Linked DNA regions of Xenopus tropicalis. The main gene of each other region encodes a partner of the protein of the gene in region 4 in a complex. Links are inferred from orthologs where the notes say so. Each region holds a gene or a part of one and is shown on either strand. Other genes may lie near its edges.

Region 1 (7,964 bases), on a different chromosome or scaffold from region 4:
CGATGAGAGATGCCAAGCACACTGGTAGAGAAAGGGTTAATGTAAAGAACCGACACACAAACTCTCCATACTAGCAGTCACAGGGTTAATCAGCATACAGAGGGCTAAGGCACACAACTCAGTTACACACTCGGAGGTTAGGTACGTTTTAGAGCATCAAGGACAAACTTATTAAATTTTATATTTAATATTATAAAAAGTATAACAGTGCAAGTTAAAACAGGATGTTACAAAAAAAGGACATACGATAAAATAAGTACAAACAGTTTAAAATAAAAGGGAAAAACATAGAAGTCCTATACTGTACCAAGCAAAGTCCTTCTAGTCCTGGAGGCAAGGGGAAACCACAGGATAAACTTCCAATCGAAAATTGGTCCTCCAAGTATATCAGCGTATAGTCAGAAGAGCTGACTATTTATCCCAGTTTGCAGGGGATCAGGTAACTGGACACTCCCCCCTCCCTCAGGAATGCAAGGGGTGTCACCATTAGCAGGACACAGTGTGAGTTTTATGACCCCCTGAGTGTATGGGACTGGACCTATGATGAAGATGACCATAACTCCTTGTGGGAACATAATAGAAAGATGAAATTAGATTCATCAATTCTAAATGATCCCACCGGTCCCATACAGACTAAACATCACTACTGTGTGACCTGCCCCTGCCCAGATACTCCTATCTGCCAAACCGAGAACCCAAATCCAGCGATGTTTGGACCCGTAAGAAAGGCAATCGTAAATGAAACATATACTCAGGTTTTGGTACCTCTAGTATAAATAGTATGGGTTCTGGGACAATAAATGTTCGTGAGGTTGGGTTATGGTGTGACCTCCACATCACCTATGATGGGTTTTGATGTGAACTCTAATTTACACCATGTGGGCTTTCACTCCCCCACATGGCATGGCCCTTATCAGCCAGGGATTAGAGTTTGGGCATTCCAGGATGTGAGGCCTTTACACATGGCTGGTTCCAGACCCTAGTGACCAGAGGCCTGTTATACATCTGTTTCTGTCCCATGGGGGAAGATTTTTGTGATACCTTGGCCTGCTTGATTAACCCTTACAGGCCTGTATCATGACAAACAGGTTTTATATATCATGCCCCCTTCAACTTTCTTTTAATACATACTTGGTACAGTTATATGAAGATACTTAATGTGGACCTGCAGTGACAAAAGAAAAACCTGAAATATATCTCCGTCTGAGAGTACCGGAGATTGTGAGACATTTGTTCTTGATCGGTAAAAAAGATATTTATGTTTGTAAGCATACTATGAGCACTTTTACAGATATTAAAAAAGAGATCACTAATTGTATTAGAGTTAATTGCTCACTATAGCAGATATAAACAAACAAGGTGTTGTTGAACTTAGTTTTTCTGCACTTTATTATGTGAAAACTAGATAAATGAATGTTCTGCTACAGGTATGGGATCTGTTATTTCCAAATTACGGAATGGCTGTCTCCCATAGACCCCATTAATAATCAAATAATTCTAATTTTTGAAAATGATTTCCTTTTTCTCTTTAATAATAAAACAGAACGACGTACTTGATCCCAACTAAGATAGAATCAATCCTTATTGGAGGCAAAACAATCCTATTGGGTTTATTCATTATTCAAATGATTTTTTAGCAGACTTAAGGTATGGAGATCCAAATTACAGAACAATCCCATTCTGGATAATAGGTCCCATACCATACCTCTCAACATTTTGAAAACAGAAAGAGGGGCAAATTTTTTTGACTATGCCCATTTTTGAAACCACACCCCCTAAATACCACTACCATTTGACTAATTTGGCAGGTTATTTAAAGGTTGAACACATTTCTGGAGGTTTTGGGGTCCTGTTTTATGTGTTATTAGTTTTGTTGAAAAAGCTAAAATTGTCTTTTAAGCTGCAAATCTCAGATCCCCCAAGAGACCTACTCTCTGCCAAAAGCACACTTAATTAAATTTGTATCTTTTTTAGCTTCAGTGCAGGAGATCAAAGGGAAATGAAGGACTTTTCCAGTAAGAATTCAGGACTGCGGGTTAAGCTGTCAAAAGGGACTGTCCCTCGAAAATCGGAATATTTGGGAGGTATGCCATACCTGTATTTGCATTTTCATTTTTAAAGTTGAAACTGTTCACTCATATACACTTTGCACTTCATTTTATAACTAAATGAACAATTTAAATATATGATCAGGAGTCAGTTAATAAAATATACTAAACTATATATTGTTTTTCTTTTAAACACTTATCTTTGCATCGATATAAGGGTTCTGGAGAACAACTACACCAACATGCTTGGGAGTAAAAAATTTCTTGTGGCAAACAAAAAAGACCACAAAACAGAAACATTGGAGCAGCTACTATTTATTCAACAAACGAATTGTTATTAATTTCTCTCTTACAGCTAACTAAATTACTATGTACCCAAAGCACTTTTGACTAGCTTCCCAACATCGCCCTTTTTAAACTCATCCAACAAATACTGCAGTAACGTGTTGAACCCCATACACAAGCCAACAGCAGACGACGCAACCAGTTTTATGTCGCGCCTACAGACTCTGTGCGTGCAATTGTTCACCCCTTCCGCATCCACTCCGTCAGACGCACGTACCTACGTATATGGTCCTTGAATACAGGATGTAGTACCCCGCAGGACGCAGAGGCAAAGCAAGCGAATGGTAGGTTGCTTTGTCAGCAGAATTTGAGCCCAAGGGCCTGAGGATTTCTATCTTCTTTAAAAAATGATACATCACATCCGGGCTCCGTTCGTTAATTTACTGGTTTTTGACAGTTTTTTTACTAGGTCGCCTAGTGGGTAATCCGGCCTTGCGGAAGAGGCACGTCTCGGTAGTAAGGTGTCTAAAGTCGAAGGGTGAGCGTAGTAGTTAAAGCATGTCGTATAAGCCCATCGCCCCTGCGCCTTCTGGGAGTAATAGTGCCCCTGGCACTCCAGGTAACAGAGTAATATAGGTTGGTTTATAACATTTTTTTTTTAAAGTTTTCTTTAAAGGTAAATGGCACGACTACAGATTATTGGTATTTTGGCGCTCTGTGGCAATTGTCGGGACCTGTAGGTGTTGCAGGGATAGTCACCAGACCCCCAAGGGCAATGACACAGCACCTGAAAATACGTTGATGTCCACATAAAAGGAAATTGCTGTGTCTGAGACAGTTTACTTGCGTACACTGTTGTAATAACATGAAAATGCAGTGAAAGTAATTTTTAAGATATTACCTGTGTGCAACTTTTAGATCTCTACATTTGCATTTTACAGTACTACAAGTTTGGCTGAATAAAGCCTGAAATTGCTATGTATATCAAAAAAGGATATAACAATTTATTTTTTAATATATTATTACCTGTTAGCGCTGCTTACTAACTGGTAAATTGATTGTGGCAGCACTGAGGGTAAGGACTATTTCTAATTTGTACTTAGAATTGCTGTGTGTGCCATTTTTCTAATGCTGCAAGACTTTTGTTTGCTTTAATTCAATTGTATCTGCTGAATCTCTAGAATATCAAGCATACTTTTAGGCTTTGCCAGCATTTACTTATTGTTGCTTGGTTGGATTTCTCAATTTTACTTCAGCTTTAAAAATCTATTGCATTTAACTGTTTTATTAGTGTTAAGATTTATCTTTAAGATACATTATAAAATATATATACATTTATTTTTTATAATATTTATAATTTATATACATTATAAAATCCAAGCAGTTTTTTCACTGATATGCCCAACTAAGGTGGCCAAACGATTTGATCAACAGCAGGATACAGGCCATCAGGGCGAGGACTTCATCAATGAACCGATGCAGGCAGATACGTTGCCGAATTGGTCTGAATTTTAGGGATTAAGTCCATGTCCTTTAAGGTGTCCATACACTGTAAGATCTGCTAATTTTGCAAGGTTGTTAAGCAAGTGGATCTTCTGATATGCCCACCTATGGCGGGCATAGGTGCCATTGGTTCAGGGACTGCATCAGCGAGCCGATCCAGTCCCTGATCCAACTGAAAAATTAAACCTGCCCGATCGAGATGGGTATTTATCTGGCCTAAAATCAAAGAAATTGAGCCGCCCTATCAACAATTGTCTGACAAGTCCACCTGCATTTGCTTGTGATTGGCATTTAAAGAGGCAGTGTACCTCCTTGTTTAACTTGAGTTCAGTGAATAGGACTTGTATGTATGTATTTATATTTTAGCATCCTTGTAATAGACTGCACCACCACTGCAATATCTCCTTAAAAGCCCTTATTGAAAAAAGGGTTCTGACCCACAGCAATGTTTCAGACCAACACTGGTGTTTTATCAAGCTACTGAAACAGCTAATATCCGTACATTTTTATAGTGTGATACAGTGACTATTGGTAAAATTGGTAAATTACAAACCATTCATTGTGAAATATTTCCATTTCAAACTACATAACTACCATTTGTTATATTTTAAACATTTTTACTTTCAGAGGCTTTTTGTGCATTAAGCCATCCCCATCATCCTTAAAATAAGCAACCTGCAACAAAAACAGATACATAAAACCCCAATTAAAAGCAAAAATTTAAAACCCATAATTTATTTTTCTCATTAAATCACAGATAAATCTTAAAGGAGAAGGAAAGGTAAAAACTAAGTAAGCTTTATCAGAAAGATCTATGTAAATACAGCCATAAGCACTCACAGAAACGCTGCATTGAGTTCTCTGTCAAAAGAAACAGGATTTGTTGTCTCCTTGTTTTTCTCTGCCAGAGACAGGCAGCTCTCTCCCCCTTTCCTGCTCCCCCCCCCCCTCAAGAATGCTAAGAACTCCTTCCCCTTCTTAGGAATGTGTGATCTGAGCCAATCAGCAGGAAGATTCCTCATAGTCTTACAAACTGATCATGTACAGTGTCTTGGTCTTGGTGCAGGAGCGAGGCATTATGGAAACTTTCTTTACAGAGCTCGGAGTTGTTTTTTTTTTTTTTCCTATGAGGCTTCTGATCATCTGAACCGGAGAAATATGGGGAGACCTAAGGGCACTATTGAGAGAACTGAAGATATACCTGCATCTTGAGATGAACTCTTTATTAGCCTTTCCTTCTCCTTTATATCAAATTCTCTATTGAGGTCATGGGGCATTAATGTCTCCAAACTACGTATCCATCTTGCTTCTTTATTCAGTAAAATTCTCTATCTATTAATACTAAAAAAAATCAAGCTGTCTCTTATTTTCTCACTACAGGCCATGAGGTGCAACAGTTAAAATTCCTGATCATTGATAATGCCCCCCCCCCCCCAAAAAAAATAGAATGAGAATTTTACTGGAAAAAGAAGCAAGAAGGATACCTAGGTTGGAGATGTTAATGCCCCATGGCCTCGAAAAAGAATATGATTTAAGTAAGATTTGTCAGCGATTTAATGAGAGAAATAAATAATAGGTTTTACCTTTTTTTTTTGCTTTCAATTGGGGTTTTATTTATCTTTTTGTTGCAGGTTGCTTCTTTTAAGGATGGACTATTGGTGTTAGTGAAAAAGTTTAAAATGTAACAAATGGTGGCTATGTGGTTTGAAAGGAAATATTTGTATCTGTACTTGTTGTTTCACAATGGTTAGTAGTATGATTATTTAGTTTGTAATAAGATTTTTTACCAATAGAGATCACACTATAAAAATATACGGATATGAGCTGTTACCAGTAGCTTAAAAAGACTGGTGTTGATCTAAAACATTGCTATTGCACTTCAACAGGTGGAGACTGTTACTCTAAAAGTGTGCATAGAGAGAGAGGATGCCAACCATGATAAAGCAGAACTGCTGATACCAAGCATTTGAAGATGTTTTAAAAGAAGTATGTATGTATATCTTTATTTATAAAGCGCTACTTATGTACGCAGCGCTGTACAGTAGAATACATTAATACAAACGGGATTATTAAGCTAATAGATGAATACAAAGTATAACCATAAATACAGATAAATACAGTTGCAATAAGTTAAGAGTCAAAGACAAGAGGATGGAGGTCCCTGCCGCGTAGAGCTGAAGTGAATGATTAACATTATCAAACGCTGCGAGATCCACAAGTAAAATTGCCACACTCTTGGCTCACCTAATCAAATATTTACTCAGTCACACTTCACATTTTCTAGAACAGGCAGCCATCTCTATAAAAAGGTATTCTCCCTCCCATCCTTTCCCTCCTTGCTTCATACTGCACATGTGTTTCATTCCCTCCCCCCCTTCGCCTCACCTCCCCTGTGGCAGATCTGCTTCTGATTGGCTGGTGGGCATGTGTAGCTCAGAACAGGAGACAGGATCAAGTTACACACATGCTCAGAGAATAGGAAGGCTGCCGCTGGCAGCCTACAGGAAGGGAAGAGAGATTTCAGTGATTTCACTGGAGTCTTCACACTGCTGTAGGCTGCCAGCACCATATCTCAGAGAAGCAAGCAGGGATCTGGGAATTTAGATATGCAGTAAGTACTTAAAAAGAATGCCTTTAGACTTACTTTTAATTTATATTAACCTTTCATTGTCAACCCCATCCTCAACAGTCTAACCTCCATAGCTTAAATCTTCCATCGTCTTTACCAGTTTAGTTGCACGTCTCTGCACTCGCTCCAGCTCATTAATATCCTTCTTAAAGTGATACTGACAGCCAATAAACAAAATTTTCTTGCATCTGCCCTCATGTTTACATTGGTATCAACTTTTAATTTCTTTATAAAACAAGCTGCAAAGTTTTTTCACTTTACCATTATCATGGAATCAATGACAGGTCCACAGGGCAGCCATGTTTGCTCTCCTCTTCCAGGCTCCGGTGTGTGCCTGTGTGTAATGGGAGGGAAGGGGGAGATGCAGGCAGGGAAAGCTGAAGCTGCTGTTATCTACTGCTCTGTGCCAGGGGATGGGAGGGATAAAGCTCTGTGTTGGTGTGTGTAAGAGGGGGAAGGAAATCAAGCCTGTCTGCTGTTGTAAGGGAAAAGGAAACGGGAGGATCCTTTCAGTCACTGACGTCAGCCTGCTCCTGCTTTGACTGACAGGCTTAGAAAACACAGTTGGGTTTGTCAGACTGTTTGGTCCAGGATCTTAGGAAGTGTTTATTTAGACAACAAGGGCTTTCTGGAAAAAACGGTCCACATAAGTTATAGGTATGTTTGGAGGTAGAATCATTTATTGAAAATAATTATTTTGCTGTTAGTATCACTTTAAGGACTGGAGCCCAAAACTGCACTGCATACTCAAGGTGAGGCCTTACCCAGGGACCTATAAAGAGGCAAAATTTTATGTTTTCATCTCGAGTCAATGCCCGTTTTTATACAAGATAGCACTTTATTTGCTTTAGATGGTTCACGTTTATATTATTTCTACCAAAGTGCATAACTTTGCACTTGTCCACATTGAACCTCATTTTCCAGTTTGCTGCCTAGTTTTCCAACTTCAAATCGCTCTGCAAAGTGGCAGCATCCTGCATGGAACAATTTAGTGTCATCAGCAAAAATAGAAACATAGTACTCTCTATGCCCATCTCCAGGTTGTTAATAAATAAGTTAAAAAGCAAAGGACCAATGACTGACCCTGCAGTTACTCCACTAACTACACTGGTCCAATTAGAAAATGTTCCATTTACCACCACTCTTTGTGATCTATCCTTCAGCCAGTTCTCTATGCAATTACAAATATTATGTTCTAGGCCAATATTCCTCAGTTTAATCATTAACTTTCTGTGAGGTACTGTATCCAAGGCTTTATCAAAGTCCAAGTAGATGACATCAACTGTCATTCCAGCATCGAGGTTCCTGCTGACCTCCTCATAAGTCGACCAAATTAGAATTTTTCTGGCCTACATGGTGCTGGGCTGATAAAAGAACCAGTTTTGACCACTCAACCTATTTTTAAAACTGCACCCACTTCAAACCACACTCATGTTATCACAAAAGCTTTCAAGACCATACCCACATTAATAGTGGTAGCACAGCAAAAACCCAAAGAT
Region 2 (7,357 bases), on a different chromosome or scaffold from region 4:
AGAAACAAAGCAAAAACATTTTCTTATATTACTCAGCTCGTACTAGTCACAACATCAATTTACTGGAAATGGGAGTTGCTATGGAAATTACGGCTCAAGTAAAACCCTGCAGCAGGTTCTTTAGAACAACCAAAAATAAGCTGGTATGTATTTCTATTCCACAGACACATCAAACTATAAAGTATAAATATGTAGCACCTATCTTTAGATTATTAGACATAATAATTAGACAACAACATAAATGCAAAGAATCTGGTCTAGAATTCTTTATCTACAACTAAGCCATGACGCACAGCCTCCGTAAGGAAAGCATTCGTTACATACATGCGTTACATAATGCACACATGGAATTTAATATAAGATTAAATCTCTGTTTAGTAATCAACATAACAAAATGGTAATTTGAAAACTCCATTACATTAAGTGCTAACCAAGTTAAGTGATCAAATACCAACTGCGCTCACAGTCTCACAAGGGCATATACTTTGGATATTGGAGGGATACTGATGGCACATACTAAAGAAATGTGGATAAAGAAAAACTCACCAGCACACCCAGGCTCCTCCAAAAAAACTTTCACCTGGTACACAGTATCAAGAGGGAACGGCACCCTCCAATCCGAATTTAAATAACATAGATACTGGCACGATTTGTGCCAGTATCTATGTTGTTTACATACTAAAGAAACCCTGCCACATACATTTTCAGTGCAACTGTTTTCTTGCAATGCTTCACAATTAAACACCCTTTATTTTAAAAAAACATATGCTCAGAAACACTCTTTAAAGGCCATGACAACTCCAAAAATTATTTTTTGCCTAATGAAAGAAGACATAATTCTAAGCAACTTTCCAATATTATTAAAAATGTTAAGTGCTTTGAAAGTTATTTGTAAATGTAGTTGCTATAGAAAGAAACATTTGCAGAACTCCTGGTTGTTACTTTTTAAACAATGTTGCAAAGGTCAGTCTCCTCCATCAAGACAGGTCTGTCAATCTACTGGTTTGTATTACATTGTTTCAAGATTCAGAACCACCAGGGCAGAAAATAGAAAGGACATGCAAACACTGCTTTTAATAGCAGTTATATATACAAATACCTCAACCACCATTACAAAAATGTAATGACTTTATATTGCAAAGTTGCTAAGAGTTTTGGTTTCTTTTATTAGGCAATTTTTTTTTCCTTTTAAAAATATGTCCAGCTCTATATAATTTGATATACCTGTAGTAATCACCAGTGGGATTTTGCACAATTTTGGACTATAGCTATCTGGGAAGCATTAATCTAGAGATGATCTTAGCTCATTAGTTCTTTAGAATAAATGTCTGCTACAGCTGAATGCATTAGCCTTTATTACCTTTACACACACACAAACACAATTCCAGAATCTACCATCTATTAAGTCTCTTTATGTGCTGTGCTGTGCATGCCAACCTCTACTCTTAAGACCAGAGTCTGCTCTTAGAATGTTAATATTTTATTAGTGCTGTGTTTTATTTATATATAGAGTGTCATTGATGTCTAACTCTGTGTTACTGCCAGCCACAGGGCTTGTACAGTTTATTCAACACGCACAAATTTGTCATCTAAGATAAGGATTCTGATAATCTTCATATAGGTATTACGTTTTTACAGTGAATACCCACTCCTATTAAAAATACTAGGAAAAAATCAAACTATTACTCTATACAGCATCTGGGAACTGTAAGCTATAACAGGTTCTGTCTACCTGAGCCAACACTCCACTTCTCACCATTACAACCTATGCACATAACAGCTCCCTTAGTTATGTTGCTCTGTGTATGTATATATATATATATATACAGGTATAGGACCCATTATCCAGAATGCTCGGGACCAAGGGTATTCCGGATAAGGGGTCTTTCCGTAATTTGGATCTCCACACCTTTAGTCTACTAAAAAATCAATTAAACATTAATTAAACTCAATAGGATAGTTTTGCATCCAATAAGGATTATTTATATCTTAGTTGTGATCAATTATAAGGTACTGTTTTATTACTACAGAGAAAAAGAAAAACCGTTTTAAAATTCTGAATTATTTGATTAAAATGGAGTCTATGGGAGACAGGCTTTCCGTAATTCAGAGCTTTCTGGATAATGGGTTTCCGGATAAGGGATCCCATACCTGTATATATATATATATATATATATATATATATATATAAGAACAGAGAGCCGCACACACAGGGACTTAGCAATTAGTGAAAAAAGTTTTAATGAAAAAAATCCAAAGTTTCGAGCACTAACTGTACTCTTCTTCAGGGACAAACCCTGTCCCTGAAGAAGAGTACAGTTAGTGCTCGAAACGTTGAATTTTTTTCATTAAAACTTTTTTCACTAATTGCTAAGTCCCTGTGTGTGTGGCTCTCTGTTCGTGTATTTCCGTATTTTGCCAGCACCCAGGGCATTTGTGCCTCAATAGGGTGTGCTCCACTCTTCTTGTTTTATATATATATATATATATATTACACTTTGTACGGCGCTGCATATCCTTGTGGTGCTTTATAAATAAAGTTATACATACACACACACATTTTGGGCTTTGTGGCCCCCTACCTGTGATTCATTATTCGGTGTATCATCATCCATTCTGGTTTTATGCCATATCTGTAAAACTTTTCTTCCATCTTTGCATACAGCGGGTCTTTGTTTCTCCGTTTTTCACTTTTGCCTTCTTCATCCCCAGACCCATAGTCATATGGAGGTGGGTCATCCATATCATTTTTTCTTTGGTAGTTTCGAAACATGACTGTATGATATAGCTCTAGCTGTAAGGATAAATAATAAAAACAACACATTTAATATGGAGGTGAAAAGGCAACATGTTCCCATGCCTCTCATCCTTAGATTTGCCTCTTGACCATAGGATTTTAATAATGATAGCATTAAGCAGGTCAAGCAATGGCAATCAGATGATTAAAATCAACTGTATTTAAATGGATTTTATTATTCATGATTTAAAAAAGCATTTCTATGATCAATGTTATAACTGGTAGTTTCTTTAAACATCACCTGCAATTCCTTAGCCCAGGAGCAGTGCCAGTAGGACAGCCCTGCCCATTTGACAAAAAATTCTCTTTCTGGAATGCCCTCCACAGGCTTTGGAGGTGGCATAAGGGGATCTATATCGACGGGAAACCCTGATGGAGGGGGAGGTTCTCTCCATACCCAGTGCAGGATTCGTTGAACTTTTCCTTTCAAAGGTGGACACTAAAGATAAAATGAAAACAAATGTTTCAATGCCTTTATCATACATTGAAGTAACATTCACTTGTAATTTATGAAAAAACACACAAAAAAATAAAGGAAAAGTTATAAAAACGTTCATAACTGTTGTTTAATATCTGTAAAACCTTGGTGCAATACCACTGCCACAAACCTCAGTTCCCCTCTAATTGTTCTGCTGCTTCTTTAAGTTTTGTCTTTACATCAATTCAGCATTAATTTTTCTTTTCAACCATTACATACCTCCCAACATTTTGAAAGCGGGACAAAAATAAATGCTGAGCACAGCGCGGACTTTTTTTGACCACGTCCATTTTGCAACCACACCTCCTAAATACCACTCCCATTTGACTAAATTTGGCAGGTTATTGAAAGTTTGGACACATTTCTGTTTAGCTTATTAGTTACAATTGTATCTCAGTGCAGGGGGGATTTTTAACTTTCTGGGCTCTCTGCCAAAAGCCACTTATTTAATTAAAAGCGAGAAACAATGTATCTAAGTGCAGGCTCTCTGCCCAAAAACTACTTTTAATTAAATTTGTATCTTTTTTAGCTTCAATGCAGGAGATCAAAGGGAAATGAGGGACTTTTAAGTAAGAATCCGGGACTGCGGGTTGAGCTGTCAAAAGAGGGACTGTCCCGCGAAAATCGGGACAGTTGGGATGTATGCCATTACATGCATTATGCATTACCATGCTATTTCTAGTGAAATCTCTCTCAACGTTTAGGCTGATGCCACACAAGGCATAGGGCTGAAATTTTCGGCAAGCGGATAAACGCTTGCCGAAAATTCAGCCCTACGCCTCCTACTTGTGCCTGCACCCGAATGAATGGAATACGCTCGGGTGCAGACACATGTAGCCGATATACGCAAGAAAACGCGAGATTTTGAATTCTCTTGCGTTTTCATGCGTATATCGGCTACATGTGCCTGCACCCGAGCATATCCCATTCATTCGGGTGCAGGCACAAGTAGCGCTACGCCGCGTGTGGCATCAGCCTTATCTTTTCCAAGTGAAATCTCTTCTACCTGTTCTTCCTTCTTTCCATGCCACCACCTTTCCCTCACCTTGTTTTACTACCAACTCACCTTTATTCTGCGCCATTTCCAGCCTTTTTACTCACTCACCACTATACTTCCCATAGCTTTGAACTGCTCCTCTCACTGTGTAGTCCCTTCTTTCTCAATGAACAGTGCCCATTTTATCTATATTTATATTAGTGGTAATTAAATTAAGTAATGCCCTTCACAATGTCGTTGCACTTATCCAAGAAAAGTTTATTTGCTAAACATTCAACATGAACCAACATGTATAGTTCAGTAAAAATGGAAAATGTTAAGGATGTGTCTTTGTATGGCTCCAGTTCTGAATAAATAGTTCTTATTAATGTAAATGAGCAGTACCAAAACATTATCAGTCAAAACACTATTACCATAACTGCTATATCATAACAATTGTTATTGCAACTGCAATTCATTTAGTTAGAATGACTAAAAATACACAAATATTGTTATAGTTACTGAGGGCAAACTAACCACACATCTTATCTCATTACCTGCCCTATGGATTTGACACCCTGACATAGCCATGACAGCCATGGCCTCTTGTTTTTTTGTCTGCCTGGCTTTTCAAGCAATGGCAAATATTCTAAGCTCAAGCCATAATTCTAAGATCAACAATTGTCTTCAGATGCAATCCTTATCTTTTAATATAACACAATATACTACCAACATCCTACTTTCTGTTCAGCTCATCAAAGTGTGTATAACTCTTTATCCTACTGATAAAATCAAACCCATAAACTTGAGATTGAATGTTCATCACTGTTTTGCTGTAGATATTCTGTCCCATATACACTGCAACCTGTTAGATGTTATAGCACAGGTTAATATCAGCTTAAAGCTACAGATTTACAACTTTCATCCATTTTATTGCATGTTTTTACAGAAACGTTTGTATATTAGTCTTCACAAATATACAGTTGACTCACTTTCCTTTCCACTTTACTAAACACAGCAAAATAATTCCTAATAACATCAAATGTCCTCATTGTACCTCAAATGTATTTACTATGGCAGACAGTCTGTCTAGATGATATTTTAGGGCAGAGCCCATGCTATCCTTTGCAAAATGCAAGGAAGCATATCTTACAAACCCCATACACATGTGCTATTATTTGCTTCCTTTCACAAATGTCAGAAAAACATAAATGATTCTTTATCCAAAACTGAGTTCATGAGGTCTTACCGTACAACGAGGGCACAGCCATTCACCATTTGGTATTTCAGGCAATGGTGGGTTAAGACAGTGCAAATGATAAGAAGAAGGACAAGTGTCACAGCACAGAAGTTCGCCCCCATCTTTACAAACACGACAAAACTCCATGTGGTCATCTTCCTCTTCTTCCTCTTCTTCTGCCCCATCTTCTTCATCCTCATCATCTTCCTTTGGTTCCCACTGAATGCCTTCTTTTTCCTATTCAAGGGCCAACAGCAATTTACGTCAGTATGTTTTTATGTTTGATTATAATCAACGATATTAATAATAATATCTATCATAAGGATTTATGCTAGCTTTGTTAACACTAAGGGGCCTATTTATTATGCTGTGTAAAAAAACAGGGACAAAATTCGCCATACATCGACAGGCTTTGCCGCATTAAAAAAAGGTGTATTTTTTTATGTGTTTTTTCTTCTGCTGGAACTTATGTAAAATAGTGGCATAAAATCTGGCTTTCAGACAGCAAAATTTGCCTTTTAATTTACACAGCTTTAAAATCCATTTTCTGTATGAATTTGGAAACAGTGAAGGCACTGAGTGATTAGCATTTTTTGCCTTTAGATCTCCCTTTAATAATTCAGAGAACAAGCAAATAAATCCAAAATGAATAATTGTTTGCTTAAAAGGGTAGTTCACCTTTAAATTAACTTTTAGTATGATGCCGAGATTCTGAGATTGTTTGCAACTGGTCTTCAATTTTTTTTTGTGTGTTTTAAGTTATTTAGCTTTTAGTTTGGCATTTTAGCGACTATCTGGTTGCTAGGATCTTATTTTCCCTAGCAATTAAAAACGTTAATTTAGGGGTGAACCACCCCTTTAAATAGAATACTAACTTAATTTATAGTCTGGTGCTTCCTGGAACTAAGTTTGCAGATATAAATCCCACATTTACATTTATTCTATAAATAAGTTAATGAGTTCCTATGTTTTCATTCCTTTTGTTTACTTTTTAAGGTGCCTTAAGACTGCTATGTTCATATCTCTATTTCATCGGGCAGAATGATAGAACAATATTACTGCACTGCAGAATAAGTGGAAAAGGTATGTAGTGCATCATACAAGCAGAAGAAAATCTCAGTAAAACAAAGCAAATAAATCTATAGAAACCTGAAGCTGACAGCAGTAATACCAAGTACCTGTTCTGTACATTCCAAATAATCCCTAATCGTTTCAGAAAAAAAGGAAAGACTTACACAGTGTGGACAGCTCCACTTGCCCTCTGGGGCCTTCTCCAATTCAGGATCCAGGCAGACAAGGTGATAGGCACGGGGGCATGTGTCACATAATATGATTTCCCCTCCCTGCTGACAAACTTCGCAGTAATCCTGATGGTCTGTCTCATAACCGTCACCTTCTTCAACTACAAGATAAATAAAAAACAATATCATGTTCTCATTCCATTTGTAGCTCTATCATCTGCCTTGATTTTAATGCATTAACACGACATTAACATCAGCCGCACAAGGTAACGCAGCACTTAACATTTCGAGAGTATGTAAATTGCTTTTCACCGACTTTAATGACAGTGCTTTTATGTTTGATTAGATTTGCTAATTTGATAATTGAAGGCAGATGGATCAGGACAAAAAGCAGTAAAAGAATAATAACTTCCCAACATTATGACAAGACTCAGCGTCGTCAAATTAGAGGAAAATTTAAATTTGCTTTGGAGTTTGCTGCAACAAAATGGAAGAAAACGGTTTTTAGTTCCAAACTGCTAGAAACACATATGGTACCCTGAGGACAAAACCAAAAGATACCCTTCCATATACCATTTTTTTGGGGGGGGGGGTGGACAAAGCTCAAATATTTTGTACCATTACA
Region 3 (7,884 bases), on a different chromosome or scaffold from region 4:
GAAGGCAGAGTATGGCACACACAGGCAGGGTAGGGCAGGCAGAGTATGGCAAACACAGGCAGGGTAGGGCAGGCAGAGTATGGCACACACAGGCAGGGTAGGGAAGGCAGAGTATGGCACACACAGGCAGGGTAGGGCAGGCAGAGAATGGCACACACAGGCAGGGTAGGGCGGGCAGAGTATGGCACACACAGGCAGGGTAGGGAAGGCAGAATATGGCACACACAGGCAGGGTAGGGAAGGCAGAGTATGGCACACACAAAGGCAGGGTAGGGCAGGCAGAGTATGGCAGGTTTTTGCTGTACTACAACCATTAATATGGGTATGGTCATGTGATAACATGGGTGTGGTTTCAAGTGGGTGCAGTTTCAAAAAGGGGAGTGGTCAAAACTGGCTTCCATTATCGGCCCTCCACTACGTAGGTCGGAAAAATTCTGGCCCTCGGTACAACAGAAGTTGGACAGCACTGTCTTAGATGATAAAAATAGTATTCCCATCATAAACAATAAGCACATCATGATATGATGCATGACTTTTTACTGTGAGGAGGACTTTGAACAAGTGTTTTTGTTTACAGCGTAGCGTTTTGTTTTTTTTTTGGAAGAAGATGCAATGGCCTGGTAAAATGTGCTCTGGTCCAGCACTGGCAATATAGACAAGGATGATACCACAGCGTTCTACTGACAAGTCCCCTGAGCTGGTGCATCTCTTTGCAAAGAGAAATGCTAGCCCTGGTTCCAAGCTTACAAATAAGGTTCTCTGGACATACCCAACAAATCAACCCCCCAGATAACTAATCTTTCATTGTTATTTAATAAGAAAACAACGAAATATAAATGACATGGAAAATATATTATTCTTACCTCTTTTAAGTCTCTCCATAGCACTTTTACTGCCAGCATATGTTGGTCTAATTTCTTTACCCAGCTCTTCAATTATGGCAAGAAGCTCTGCATACTTGCTCTGAGGTACCTGGTTACTATTAGAAACCTACAATAAAAGATTCCAGATGTGGTCAAGTAAAAAACAACCCACTAGTCATTAATGGGTGTTATGCACAAGCAAATAAACCGATATTCAACTGGTCATTCACACTGTTGGCTAAATAGCACTGCTTTGTTCACAAGCCTGATGTCTCTAAAGAGCATATCTGAGCAGAAGTGAAAGAAATCCTTGGATCTCCTCACATCTCCAAACTTTATTCTTACCTTCCTCCCATGTTACATTAATAAAGCTTTGAATTAGGCGTTATATCCATGCTCCTATTTTTATATTGGATAAAAAGCCCCACCCATGCATGTTCCTGGTTTTTAAGGGCTGTCTTTTTATATTTAATTTTGAAATTTCACATGGGGCTAGCCATATTCTTTATTTTCCAGGGTGCCACAGCCATGTGACCTGTGCTTCAGTCACACTTTACTGCTGAGCTGGAGTGATATCACACCCCTCCCTCGTTTGGCAATGTTGCCAAGCGAACGGATCTTCTCCCGATATCCCCCACCTACAAACCTTTTCGTGTCTACACATCTGATTTAGATCTGATTTAAGTGTGAGACTCGGGGCTATAGCACCCGACTCCTGATATTGGTCGGGCAGGCCCGTCGGTAGTGCCCATACATGGGCCGATTAACTGCCGAATCGTCTAAGGGACCGATATCGGCAGCTAGAATCGGCCCGTGTATGGGGACCTTGAGAAATCTGGCTTGGGACTCCTCCAGTTACATGGGAGTAAGAGAAACAATAGTTTTCCTGAATGCAGTTCTAATATGAAGCTCTGGCTCTTTCTGAAAGCTTAGACTCACACAATGCACTGAGATGGCTGCCTACACACCAATATTACAAGTAAAATAAAAATACATTTGTTGGTTTAAGATGATATTCCCGGAGATATTGCTCTCTTGAAAACCTGTGCTAAAAAGCAAATAATACAGGAAGGCAAGAAGAAGTATGAAAGGGAGAGGTATTGTTTTGTAAACTCACTCTACAGCCTGTAAAGTTCCCTCTACTGCCCTTTGTTTTTTTATTTGCTTTCCCCAAAATCATTTTTAGAAATCAGGAACCAGGCAGAGTAAAAATGTTTGTAGGTTTGTTTCTGCTTTAAACCGGAAGTAAAAGCAGCTTCTGGGACCACAATTCATAATAGCATCTGCATTGTTAATTGATGTTTCTCTTCCTATTCCAGCTGACATAAATTTATATTCACAACTGACAAAGCTCACTATAATGCTGTCAACAATTGCTGACTTCTGGTTAAGAGAAGAGATAGCATTGAGAGCTATTAAGGGAAATGGTGCCCGATCACCCTAATTCAAATAAATACAGCAGGGCTAGGAAACACGTTTAGGGTAAGAACCGACATGGCGGTTCAGTCACCCGCTTTCCATTGGCAACAAGAGCAGTCGCCGGTGGAAAGCAAAGAACTACCTCTCATAGAGCTGGCATAATATCAGTGGTGGAAAGCCCTTCAAATTGCTTTGTTTTCCGAAGTTGTAAATAAGTAAGTACATTTGCTTTACCTGTGTATATCCTAAAGATGGAGGTCCGTAGTCATTAACTAGCTGCCTGTACTGTGCAGTCGATGCCATACTTGTCGAAGGGGAGTGAGCACTTCCAGCTGTTGAAAAGAACACGTAGGATTTTTACTATAGTAAGAAAGTTATGCCAGAATTGCTTCTATAATGATTTGTTTTTAATAACATGAAGTTGAATGAAATCCATATAAATGTATTCTTTAGCGAAGAATGAAGATGTTACTTACTGCATGCAAGGAACGTTTTTTGTTGTTTATTAGCATGTAAGAATAAAAGTTGGAACTGACAGGTTACTTCCCACTGCTGAAATATTCTCCATAGACAATACCCTTTTGTATAGCTTGTATATGTAGAAAACATCAGATGGCATTACAAGTACACAGAGCCCCAAACAGTATAGTGGTCAGTTGTTTAATGCACACTTATTTAATTTGAATTCCCTTGATAAAGGACTTTCCAACGTTTTGAAACCAAGTCCTTTGCAAAGGGGATTCAAGGGGATCTGATTTTTTGTTATTTTTTTCCTCCCTTCCTCATACCCCTATGCCACCGCTGCCCTCCTCAACATGGTCTCAGATGAGTCTCTTCTGTGTAAAGAAAATTCAAGATGGCTATTCACTCCACTTTGGAACCCACGGCCATCTTGGATTTTTAACAGGTGGACTCTTCACAAGCTGGCAGACAGAAAGTGAGTGCACCAAAAGCTTAAGGAATGAAAGAAAAGATGGAAATTGCACTACTCGTGTTCTGCTTGTGCAAGTTTAGTGTAGGAAATGCTTCCAGTCTATAAATGGGTGTTTATTTTATTGGTCTTTTTTTACATTTTATTGTGTCCCCACAGTCACCCAAGCTAGAGTCTCTACGCCATTATTTGGGATTTGTCAACACTATATTTTATTAATAAGACAATAAAAAAAAATAATACCCAGCGTATCCCTTCGAGTACCAGGGCAGAGTAAGGGGACATAGCTGGTGAGATGCCTTATAGGGGTTGCATGTGTTCCACCCATACAGGTAATGGGATAATAAATGGAAGCATAACACTGGGTGGGGGGAACTGCCATTGATAATAGCATACTGGCCATGTAACTTTGCTACTAGTATTTAGAATGTGCAAGTGTAGGTAATGCTTTCAATCTATCCACTGATCTTACGGACATGTCTGGAGTTAATGGAATGCTTACTGGACATTTTCCAGCAATCTTATTTGCTAATCCCCCCCCCCCATCCATTTAGCTCACATACGGAGCACTGGGGACAGGACGCACTGAAGTTTTCTGTGCGTCCTGTCCCCAGTGCTCTGTATGTGAGCAAAGTTCAGGTGTGGCCGCCGCTAAATTTGTGCCATCCTAGGTCTGAGCCATTGTTGCCTCGCCACAAATTCAGGCCTGGTTAATAGAGTGCTAATTGCCCATTTCCATAGTGATTATACTGGCACAGCTGGGGTTCATATGCTAATTATTTTTTGTCGTAATTATACTGGCACATCTAGGGTTAATATGCCCTTTATTTTACTTTGGAATTTATGTTGGCATGTCTGGAGTTCATATGCTCATTATCCATTTTCTCTAGTTATGGCATTTTCTCTAATTGTGGCACGTCTGGGTTACATTTTGGTAAAATGGATGTGGTATATATGTGTGTGGCCAAAAGTGGCGACGGTTTAAACACTGTGAAACAGGGCGGAAGGGGCCCACTACCATCCTGCTAGGTAAAACGGCCCTGCCTGCAGCTCACTGAAACTGGCTGGAAATATTCCTATTGCAAATACAATTTCTATTGATTTATGGAACAAGCTTTCCAGTGTTGTACAGCTATCTATTAGGGCTATTATGTCAGTTAGAATATAACCCCGCTTTATATTTAATATTCCTTGTTCCACAGACTCCACCATGCCCAGAGATATGAATCCCAATGGCATTTTAATTGCACAGCTTGTAAAAATGCAAAATCAGCTTTAACACATCACCAACCATTTTTAACAATAAAAATGGAAAATGAGATTCAAATACATGAACGCTCCCTGCCTGTGCTCTCTCTCTCCAAATACAAACCATGCCTCTCTGTATACACCTGGTAGCATATAATGATCCTATTATTCTCAAGTTCTCAAGTGTGGATACAGCTTCGCAGACATTTATCAGCACAATAGCTTGAGATCCCAGTACTGCCATAAAGCAACCAACCCTCATGCTCTTTTATCAACAATGACCAATTTGTGCTATGCATAACAATGCTTATTAATTTAAGGCAGAGTTTGTTACATGAGTTATAAATCTGCCAAACATTAATAATACGGGAATGAATCAATTATAAGATGTAAGATTTTCCTTTATTCGCCAGAAGTATTCCTGTGTATAATGGTAATATGATAATAATGGACACGACCCTCCCGACAGAGACACGTTCCTAAATCAGCAGCGCCCTGCAGTTCCACTTGCTGCCAGCAGAGGCCCGCACAGTGCCTACCAGTTCCAGATCAATCAGCAGCCCTGGGGAGCCGATCATGGAGGCGCCGAAACGGACTTGATCAAAGGGCTCCTGCGGATCCATCGCTTCCCCGCATGCCACAGGGTCCCCCCTGTCCCCACAAGCACCGCCAGCCCGCCCGAACACTGCGATCGGCTCCCGCTCTGCCGAACAGCCTCCGCCAGGAACTCATATGAATGTAGCGGCCGGCACATGAACTCCGGCTCTCCCCAGGTGTCTCCATCCTGCTCCCCTCCTCTCCAATCAACTGGGCCCAAGCCCTCGCTGCCCCCTGAACAAGCTCCCCACCCCGGGTCCCCTCACTTACCCTGCAAGCCGGGGTTGCTGACGGGGTGCTGGGCGTTCGGGTTGGGCTTGTAAGACATTCCCAGAGACATGACCGCCGCCGAGAGGGGAGGAATCTGGCAACAACAACAAATAAAATGTCCTGAGATCCACTGGAGCGGCTCTTGTCTGTCTCCCTCAGACACTTTTTGTTGTTTACAGCGGCGGCACCGGCAGATATGGCGTCACATGTACTGACACCCACAATGCAATGAAGCCTCCAGCAGCCCTGTCCCTGGGCAGCCCCCCGCTCACCTCTCACCCCGGGGGGCTTATTTCTCTCATGGAAGCCAGCCGTCGCGCCAACATTAGGGCACTTTTATGCCATTTTAACTGTTTTTCAGCAGTGAATTTCGCGACACGGACATTTTCTTTCAGAAGGTCTTTTTTTTTCACTTTGAGAGGGGAAGTTGATTTTGTTCTCAGTGCAATGGGTACAATACATTTTTGTTCCCTGATCAAAGTAACCTTAAGATTTTTCACATTTTTAGTAAAGTAACTTTTTACATTTTTTTTTTTTACACTTTTTGGCAAAATTAATTACATTTTAACCATTCATTTATTTTTTATTATAGGGTGAAATATGGGTGTATTTTTGTATTCCAGAAAGTAAATAGTATTATTTATTTTAATAAAAGTGCTTGAGGGGAATTTTTATTTTTTTTGTAACTATTTTGTAAAGGCGGATATAAATTTATAAATATATGGACCTGTACCGATGACATTTTACCTGCATCCTTCCAGCTGTTTATAGTGGCACGTGGGGCATTTTGTCTGCCGCAGCCGTGTCGTGACTTGTGATGTTATTTAATGGAAAGTACCCCGGTTTACACACTGACTTCCAGGCATACACCCCCCAAAACTCTCAAGTGAGTATTTATATGAAGAGGTCTGCCTGTTGTCGCTGTGTGGGTATGAACCAAGGTACTTCCCAATAAAAGCAGCATTTTGGCTTTTCTTGTTTTTCACAGGACATCAGCACTGTTTGAACCACTTCTTGCCATTTCATTCACCGCTAGAGTGACCCAAGCTGTACATTCCTGTATATTAACACTGCCAATTTGAGGGTCTCTGTATGTTGAACTACAACTGTTTTACCCCACCAGCAAAATGTGACTGAGGCTCATAAGTGTTTAAGGTGGCCATACACGGGCCGATTCTAGCTGCTGAAATCATTCCTTTAGACCAATTCGCCAGCTTCTCTGCCCGTGTATGGACACAAAGATGGGCCTCCCAGACCAACATCTGGCCTTAAGGGCTCTGGCACACGGGGAGATTAGTCGCCTGCGGCAAAACTCCCTGTTCGCGGGCGACTAATCTCCCCGAGTTGCCTTCCCCTGCCATCCCATCGGCGACAATGTAAGTTGCCGGTGGGATGGCAGACGCCGCGGGGCGATTTCGGGAAATCGCCGAAAAAAACTCACAAGTCTTTTTTGGCATCTGCCATCCCGCCGGCGACTTACATGTTCGCCGGTGGGATGGCAGGGGAAGGCAACTCGGGGAGATTAGTCGCCCGCGAACAGGGAGGTTTTGCCGCGGGCGACTAATCTCCCCGTGTGCCAGAGCCAAAAATTGGGCAGATCTCAATTGGACAGGTGCGATTTTTCTGTCAGATGCGGGCCCCGAACCGGCAGCGCCTATACACACCGTTTTAATTCAGTCATTTGGCCCTAGGGCCAAATGACCAAATTAGCCCAATATTGCCCACCTGTAAGTGGGGATATCGGGAGAAGATCCGCTCACTTGGTGACCTCGCCAGGTGAGCAGATCTTACCATGTATGGCCACCTTTACCCTTAGGGGTAAAATTACTTTAACTTTATTAAACATTCAGCAATGATATATGTGGTGTTAACCTATATCAGGGATGAAAGGGATAAATTACATCTTACTGCATTTTAAAACTGTTATTTTTATTTAGTAATTAAGACTCTATTCCCAAAAATAATATTATAGAAATAAAATCCACCTGTATAATAAAAAACCTTGGAGGTGAATTTTGTTATTAATACGGTTTGATTGTATGAAGAGAATATTTTAGGAACACAAATAAAATAATATAAGAATATTTAGCTTCATCAGACAACTGGTAGGGCTTGTTGATATTAGGAACGTGAAAGGGAGGCATTAAAAAGATACCAAGTGCTCCCAAAGGCTGCTGAAGCTAACCAACCCTTAATATGGATACAATCGGACAAAGGGAATCAGAACCACAACTTTTCTCTTTACGGATGTCTTTTTATCTAGAAGGACAACACACTACTGGCATATATCAGTAAGGGGTAGGCTTCAGATTGACTGGAAACAGGAGGCTTGAGAGCTAAGATTTTTTTTTTTTTTTTTTTAAATTGGGTCAAATCCTTTGCTGAAATCTGGAATAACTGCAGTTTAGAAACTGTGGCACCTGTGCATGTGAGTAACAGTGACTGACATTGCTGTAAGATTAACTATGAAAACAAATAGGGCCCCTTTTGCACCGACAGCATTTACACAGATGTGAATATTAGGTAATAAGAACAGTTTTATTTCACTTTCTATTG
Region 4 (8,083 bases):
TGTAAGCTCTACGGGGCAGGGACCTCCTTCCTACTGTGTCTCATACCACATGGCACTAATTATATATATATATATATATATATATAGAGAAGTCCAGGTTTGGAAGCACTCCTTCTTAGTGACGATACCCGGGTGCCAGAGCAGTAAGTGAAATGCAGGAACAAAAATGACAGCACTCACGGGTCTTTCAAAGTTGAGTCAAAATAACAGAGATGTAAAGATACGGTGAACAGAGGTTTTTATTGATCCTACGTTTTCGGTTTCCTACTGACGAAGGTTTCAGTAGGAAACCGAAACGTAGGATCAATAAAAACCTCTGTTCACCGTATCTTTACATCTCTGTTATTTTGACTCAACTTTGAAAGACCCGTGAGTGCTGTCATTTTTGTTCCTATATATATATATATATATATATATATATATATATATATATATATATATATATATATATAGTATTTATTTATTATATCACTTGTCCTCCCTGGGTGTAATTTGTATATTGTAAGATTGTACAGCACTGCGTACCCTTGTGGCGCTTTATATATAAAGTTATACATACTGGAAAATCAACATGTTTACTGCATTTTATGTGGGGTAAAGCCACAAAAAGCCATATCTTTTAAGAAACTACACATTCCCCCAAATCCAAAATGGGTACACGTATTTCTACCCCAAACCACAATGCAATTCCCTCAAAGCTTTGACTTTCCAGTATCTTATCTCCCACATACCATTAGGTACCAAGATAAAACATCTAAAATATGAATACCTAAGTATGTGGCATTTAGGGGCTCCAAGGTGACGATAAAATTAACATATTTACTGCATTTTATGTGGGGGTAAAGCCACAAAAAAAACTTAGTTCACCCCTGAAATCTATATTTTCAGAAATACACATTCCCTTGAATCCAAAAGGGGTACGTTTTTCTAATTCAAATGGATACGTCTTTCTACTCCAAATTACAAAGTTTGCCTAAAGTTGGTGATTTGCCAACATTTTGGCACCCCCAAGTGACTTAGCCTTTCCTTCTCCTTTAAAGCTTCCATATTATTTCCCATAGAGGAACAAAACTTTCATTTGAAGCAGTGTAGTTGGCTTTTCACAGGGATGGCAGTGAGGTTGTGATGGCTGATTTTGTTAATGCCTGTAAGAGGTAGTTGAATGATTTCTTGAACAAGCATAATATCCAAGGGTATTGATGTTGGTATATATAGTTTATGTATGCGAGTGTATAGATAGGTCAGTATAGGTTTAAGTGTGTGCCGGGTTCACTTGGAGTGGTTAAACTTGATCTTTTTTCAGCCCAACTTAACTAACTATTTGACATATCATTAGGTACAAAGAAAAAAACATCCTAAATATGAACCCCAGGGGTCTACTGTAGAGTTTGATGCCTAATGTACACAGGTTTATTAAAGTACATGGCAAGTAGAGACCACAACATATAACTTGTGCATATTTCATTGCTTAAATGTTCACTAATTAATAAAACACACTGTTGTATGTGTGGTGAAAGCTGCAAAAAAAAAAAAAACCAAACATTTTCATAAAGTATACATTGTGTTCAATCCAAAAATATGCCCTTCTACTGCAAACTACCAAAATGCAAAGCTATGCTCAACGTAGTGGTTTCTATGAAATATCTAAAAAAAAAAATGTTACCCCATGATATGGCACACGTTTTGTATCGTTTCAGTATAAAAAATCCTAAATATAAACACCATGGGTCTACTGGCACACACCTGCCAACTCTGGTTCAGCAAACAGAACCCTCTGACTGCATATTATGTGTCCTAAGACCCCCAGAAAACCATATAATTTTGGAAAGTAGACATTCAAATAAATCCAAATTAGGTAAAAAAAAAAAAATCTTTCTACACCAAATAACAAAGCTTTTTTAAATTTAGCGGTTTTTATTGCATTTCCACCCTAAATATGAATGCCAGAGGTCTATTGAACAGTTGGATACCCAATATAGATATACCAAACTATGTGTTTATGTATGAAATAAAAAATAGTGCACACAAATTTCTTCAGCTGCCATTCACCTTCTGCGAACAAAGTCACCTGACAGCGTATCGTCATAAGACAAGCGGATCTTACAGTGTATGGCCACCTTGAGACCTCAGAAAACAAAACGGAGGACCTCTACAAGTGCGGTTACACCTTAAGAAAAAAGCTAAACTTCCCACGAACATCTGTAAGTACAATTATATGCAATAATAAAAAACTTGGGATCATACAGATACTGCCTCATTCAGGAAGGAGACTCAATTTAAGACCAAGGGATAAGCAAACTTTGCTCAGATAGGTCCAACTGAATCTCAAGACAACAAAGAAACTGGTGAAGATGGAGGCATTAGGTACCAAAGTATCACCATTTACAATTAAGAAACTCCTTCATTGCCATGGGGTGAACTAAAAAAGCATATCAGGTCCAAGAGGTCCAAAAACACCAGTTCTGTCAGGAGAAAAGGGGAAAAAAAAACCACCAGCAATATATTGTGAGAGGCTTGTGGTTGAACTAGCTGGACTGGTCTTCTTTTAACCTCTGCTTGGAGGTAACCATGTATAAAGTTTAGGTGCCTCACCTATTAAACAATAACATTCATGTTTATTAAAGTTCCTAGAGCGCATTTTGAGTACTGTATTTAGAATGCATGAAGACTAAGAACACTGAGGCAAAGCAGGCATTTTGGCCTATGGTAACACAGGGTATATTCCAGCTGGCTGAGAAGTGACCAAATGTGGCAGTGCAGGTATGTCATTTAGTTAAATACATTTTGGACAGAAAATGCATTGTGTCATTTTCTGGCCAGAATTACTGAGCCGTAGGCCTTATTTTGGAATGTCAGTCAGTCACTATAAACATATATATTTGTATGTGTAAATTGTGTGCCATTACTGTGTTTGTACTTATATAGAACAGGGTATGTTCATGTAGATTGTAAGCTCTTTAGGGCAGGGCTCTCTTTACCTCTCGCATCGGTTATTGATTGCGTTATATGTTACTCTGTATGTCCAATGTATGAAACCCACTTATTGTACAGCGCTGCGGAATATGTTGGCGCTTTATAAATATTATTATTAATAATAATACAGTGTTTTTTGTGAAATCAAGCCTTCCTCTGAATCAACTAGAAGTTAGGCAGGTATATATAGGCATTATGGTTGAACGTGATGGACATGTGTCTTTTTTTCAACCCAACTTACTATGTAAGCGCGGGTACAGTAAACAAATGAAAACATTGATAAAACTTATATTTAAAGTTGGAATTGGGTCCCTGCACCATAGACCTTATACTCTAGAATGGTCTCTAAACGTATAAATATATGATGATTGACGTCCACCTAAGTGTCAAATGAAGTTTTCTTCTACTCTCTGATCAGTTTATTACAAAGATAGGAGCAAGTACTAAACACCCAGGGAGTATCTGTTGTACTAATGGCAGGAGGGCTGCCAGCCCAGCACACACGGTATATATTAGGGAACGGTATATATATAGGAAACGCACGTTCGCACACTACTTGCCATTGGCTCCCTTCTCTGTACCTGCCGCCAGTGGTGGCGTTCGGCCTCTTTTGTGTCCCATTAACCCCATCCCCCGCCATATTGGTTCCCGCTCCTAGCGCTCTTAGCCCCCCATTACCACCTCCGTGTAAGCCCGGTATCCCCTCATTCATACCCTATCCTACCCCCTTGCCATACTATCCACATATCTGTACTAATAAGCTATATTACAACACCCCCCGCTGACAGCCACGGACGCGCTCACTATATGGCGGGAGGGGACAGATCTTCATCTGCGCCGCCGCCTCCTCCTCCTCCCTCGCCTTGTCTAGAACATGGCACCCCACGAATACCAGCCCCCCCGAACCTAACGGGTTTGTTTTCTGAGAAAAATGTAATAAATCACGTTAATAAACATGGGGGCCCAAGGAGGAGGGGGAAATGGGCGGGTAATGCTGGAAATTTGTGGAAACGTCAACATGGCGCGCCATAAAAGATGTTACCTCACGGCAGGAGTTGGGTAAAAGCAGGGCAAAGTCATATACGACTGTTATATATGGGTTATCACTGGCCTTGTGCCATGGTACAGGCCAAATCATATAGGTAAACGAAGATCTATCTTGCGGCCCTCCAGCTGTTATTACACTACAATTCCCCAGTATCACTGGCAGTCTCGGTTCAACAATAGGGCCACAGTTTGGCTACTACAGAAATAAACCAATAACCGTATACAACAATTGCAACTGGTAACAATGCATTATGGGTACTGTAGTTCCGAACAGCTAAGAAGCCCAGCAAGTTTGCCATACACCATTTCACCCTGAGGTACAGGGAATCTGACAGCTACCTCCACTTTGGGAGTCGTCCTGCCTTTTACCCCTTGTGACACCGTGAGAATGTGTAACCTTTGCAAATGGTGTATTTGGGGGAACCCCATTAACTAAGTTCTGTAGTTCCACTATTATAGAGCCGTGTATGTTACATTATTACAAGTGTGGGACGTGGGGGTGAGCCGGGGACCACCACGTGACCCGGGACAAAATGGGGGCACCTCAGGTCCGGCTGCAGCAGCAGCACATTCCTACAGTCTCCCCTCAAATCATCTCTTCTGCCCCCCCCCCTACCCGTATACACGTAGCGCCCCCAAAAGCAATGGTAGGCGGACTGCTGCATGTCTGTGCCCCCCTGCACACTGGCACCCCCACCATCAAACCCACATCATACAGGCAGCGGCACAATGCAGGCAGAGAAACAAATCATCACTAAGGCTGATCCCACAACAAGGCCCCAAATAGGTAGAGCTGCTCCTGCATTCAGTAAGGCGGATCTCTCTTACCTCCAACCCTGTACATGTTTGCAGCCATGTCTCTCAGCAAGGGAGGGGGGATCCCACTGGCACTCCCCCCTCGGTGCCTTCTGCTTTAGCAAGTCTGGAACCCCCCCCTCCTGCTCCTCTCTCCTCAGCATAGATTTTTAGCAACGATCCACATGAGGGGGGGAAAAAAAAAAAAACAAACAAATCCTCCTCCAGGTGGGATTGCAGAGCTCCTTTTTGGAAAATGGTGGATGGATCAGCCGAGGAGGAGGGGAAAAGGATGCATTTAAAGGGGGGGCAGTGCCTTGCCTCCTGGTGGCAATGTGCTCGGAGGAAGAAGAGGAGAGAGAAGGAGCAATACTAGCAACAGTCCTAAACAAGGGGAGGGGTGGAGGAAGTCACTCAGTCATTCAGTGCAACTCTTTTCTCTTTCCTCCCCCTCCCCCATCCAAACTACAACTGCAACTGTTGTGTCTCTCTCCAGGACATCTCCATTTGTCTGCATTACCGGGAAATGAGCTTCCCTCTTCGTGGGCAACAGAAGCCATGGTTTGCCTTCACGGTGACTGCCATACGTCGTGATGGTGCAAAAAGCCACCGTTATCTTTCGTTTTCTTTCTTTTTTTTTTAGAATGTAAGCTCTTGCTTGCAGGGCCCTTCCTCTATTGTCTCTTTATCAATGTACAGTTGTAACAATGTGCATCTCCATTGCTTTTATGTACAGACTATAATGTCTTGTGCTGGTATCCCGTTACTCTATAAAGCACCTCCAGAGGCAACGGCGCAGTAAACGTAATAAATGTGCCTGCAATAGCCTATCTCAGGGGGTTGCCCTGTTATGTGTTCAAACACTGGTTGGTTTTAAAATACACATGCTATGTGCCGGTATCAACCAGTATTATTATTAGCATCTATTTATAAAGCGCCAACATGTTCCGCAGCACTGTACAATAAGTGGGATTATACACCGGACATACAAAATTAAACACAAAGCAAGCAATACAAGAAGTAAAAAAGCCCCTGTCCTAAAGAGCTTACAATCTATAAGGATTTGTGCTCTTCCAGCCGCAACTTTCCTCAGTCCCAGCTTTCTCTAACTTTGGCTATGCCGGGGTTCCGAAACTTGTAGTTCAGCAGCGGCTCAAGGGCCGTAGGTTGGATACCCCACATCTGTACATGATCATTATAAAAAGAGGCAACTATACAATAAGAATGCTGCTTGGCTAATTAGTACACTTTAGTGTCACTACGGACAACTTAGTATAGTTTATTCTGTGCAGTGTTAAACTGTAATGCCATGGGCCAGCCAGAATAATGGCTACCAAGATCTCACCAACCATAATGTAATTTGTTCATTATTTTTTTTCCAGTTGCTTCACTTTCTTTAATGTTACACACTTTTCTTACCCCAAAACCTTTTTTATGTACTCTCTCCCCTTGACGGGCACAGGGGCACTGATCAGGATGCCTAGCATTCATAGGTGCCCTAGTGATTATAATTACTTACCTGATACCCCGGCTGGTGCACCTGTCAAGAGAAAACTGCACCGGCTTGGGGTACCTGCGACTGAGCGATCCTCTTCCTCCCGTCTTCGTTCTTCACGATCCCGGGGCCTACGCATTTGCAGTACAATGAAAAAGCCGTGATTACAATCAATGGGGTTACTATAACTTTCTTTCTCCTTTAATAGGAAACAATGCGTAAATTTGTAACCATCTATCAACAATTAAAGACACCAAAAGCGTATATACTGGGGAGCAGTGGAAGTTCAAAAGAGAGATAGAAACCCAATTATGATTGGACTGGAGTGGATTCACTAGGGATGCACCGAATCCAGGATTTGGCCTTTTTCGGCAGGATTTGGATTCTGCCAAATCCATGGCCCTGGCTGAACCGAATCCGAATCCTAAAAATCACATGACTTTTTGTCACGTTAACATGGAAGTGGAATTTTTTTACCGCGCATATGGTAAATAGAATTCGGTTCAGAATTTGGCTGAATCGCTTACCGTGGATTTGGGGGTTCGGCCAAACCGGAAAAACTGGATTCAGTGCATCCCTAATTTTCATACACTTGCAGTATCTGCCGTTGACCACAGGAAGGATTTGCAGTGGGAACTGGCTGGAATTTACAGCAGCGTAGCATTTCATAATATGAGACATATTTGTTAAGCAGTTTTTTTTCCTGTCACAGAGAGTGCTAGAAATGAAGAATTGATCTATGCCTCAGGAGAGCATTTAGTCAAGCACTGTCCCCATGACTGGCTTTGTTGCTGCTGCGTAGCACATTTCTAGATCAAAATACCCTACATAATACAAGCACTCACAAGTCTTTGTGCAATTTAAAACAATAGTTTTGGATCAGGCACATTATGCATAAAGGTGGATCATAGCTGGCAAGAAATGAAAACTTGTTACATTTGCTGAATGAACATTTTTTGACTCAAATTCCAACCAAAAGCGCTCAAGGATTTTGAGGCGTCATGTTCAACCATATCAAGCCTTAAGGTGGCCATACACGTAGCAATTTTTATCTTTCATGTGACCATTGGTCGCACAAAAGATCATTCCCACCCGCCACTCAGGGCTGAATCATTAGATACGTAGGTAGAAACAATACAAATTCTACCTCCACCTGCCGATTCAGCTCTCAACATAGATTTTGCACGGGCACCTTCAATGGCACCTGATCAAAATATTTTAGCCTGGCCGATCGACGGGTCGACCGATATCCGCAACCTTTTGCAATATCAGTCCTGAACGTCAATTAAGTTTTGTACGATATTATCGGTGCACGTTTGGCTGGCTTTAGAACTGGGACCATGTTTTAGGACAATAAAAATAAACTAGGCAAACAAAAGAGAATCTACCACTATGCTCCAAAAAACATGCATTCATTCTGGTTGCAGAAATGAGGACTGGACACAAGAAATTCAAATAACTCAAAATCTCAGCTGTGTCCAGTCCCCAATGTTATGGGTGTCTGTAGGAAGGAAAAATTACAGATGTGGCTGGGTGGCATGCTGCCCTGAAAAACCTGCTTCCTTGGGCCTGACCCTTTGTGGCCTATGCACCAATCAGGGCCTGGGCGTGAAACTACATTTTTGTGCAGAAAATTTGCTGCCTGAGCCTGCACCCATGCCTATGCAATGGCTCCGGGTTAAATTAATTTGCAAAAAGACCTTGTTATTTGTTCTCATTTTCTAGGAAGTGGGACATCATTATATCTCACTCCCCTTCCATTTCTTGCCAGTG

Evidence for each region.
Region 1: mta1 (region 4) and cdk2ap2 share a complex: the UniProt entries of both Homo sapiens proteins name them as parts of the nucleosome remodeling and deacetylase (NuRD) repressor complex. The link is inferred for Xenopus tropicalis from reciprocal best matches to the Homo sapiens genes MTA1 and CDK2AP2.
Region 2: mta1 (region 4) and chd5 share a complex: the UniProt entries of both Homo sapiens proteins name them as parts of the nucleosome remodeling and deacetylase (NuRD) repressor complex. The link is inferred for Xenopus tropicalis from reciprocal best matches to the Homo sapiens genes MTA1 and CHD5.
Region 3: mta1 (region 4) and cdk2ap1 share a complex: the UniProt entries of both Homo sapiens proteins name them as parts of the nucleosome remodeling and deacetylase (NuRD) repressor complex. The link is inferred for Xenopus tropicalis from reciprocal best matches to the Homo sapiens genes MTA1 and CDK2AP1.

Annotation. Positions count from the first base shown.
Region 1 is NC_030683.2:59,554,892-59,562,855, forward strand, and holds the start of cdk2ap2 (cyclin-dependent kinase 2-associated protein 2), read left to right. Parts: upstream 1-2,650; 5' UTR 2,651-2,677; intron 2,678-2,790; 5' UTR 2,791-2,891; coding exon 2,892-2,952; exon of another isoform or gene 2,953-2,969; intron 2,970-5,722; exon of another isoform or gene 5,723-5,821; coding exon of another isoform or gene 5,822-5,822; intron 5,823-7,964. UniProt on the Homo sapiens protein: Acts as a component of the histone deacetylase NuRD complex which participates in the remodeling of chromatin.
Region 2 is NC_030683.2:98,573,870-98,581,226, forward strand, and holds part of chd5 (chromodomain-helicase-DNA-binding protein 5), read right to left. Parts: intron 6,894-7,357; coding exon 6,727-6,893; intron 5,729-6,726; coding exon 5,501-5,728; intron 3,237-5,500; coding exon 3,039-3,236; intron 2,795-3,038; coding exon 2,583-2,794; intron 1-2,582. UniProt on the Homo sapiens protein: ATP-dependent chromatin-remodeling factor that binds DNA through histones and regulates gene transcription. May specifically recognize and bind trimethylated 'Lys-27' (H3K27me3) and non-methylated 'Lys-4' of histone H3.
Region 3 is NC_030677.2:161,136,828-161,144,711, reverse strand, and holds the start of cdk2ap1 (cyclin-dependent kinase 2-associated protein 1), read right to left. Parts: upstream 5,407-7,884; 5' UTR 5,387-5,406; coding exon 5,329-5,386; intron 2,615-5,328; coding exon 2,517-2,614; intron 991-2,516; coding exon 864-990; intron 1-863. UniProt on the Homo sapiens protein: Inhibitor of cyclin-dependent kinase CDK2. Also acts as a component of the histone deacetylase NuRD complex which participates in the remodeling of chromatin.
Region 4 is NC_030684.2:115,958,654-115,966,736, forward strand, and holds the start of mta1 (metastasis-associated protein MTA1), read right to left. Parts: upstream 5,158-8,083; 5' UTR 4,877-5,157; coding exon 4,849-4,876; intron 1-4,848. UniProt on the Homo sapiens protein: Transcriptional coregulator which can act as both a transcriptional corepressor and coactivator. Acts as a component of the histone deacetylase NuRD complex which participates in the remodeling of chromatin.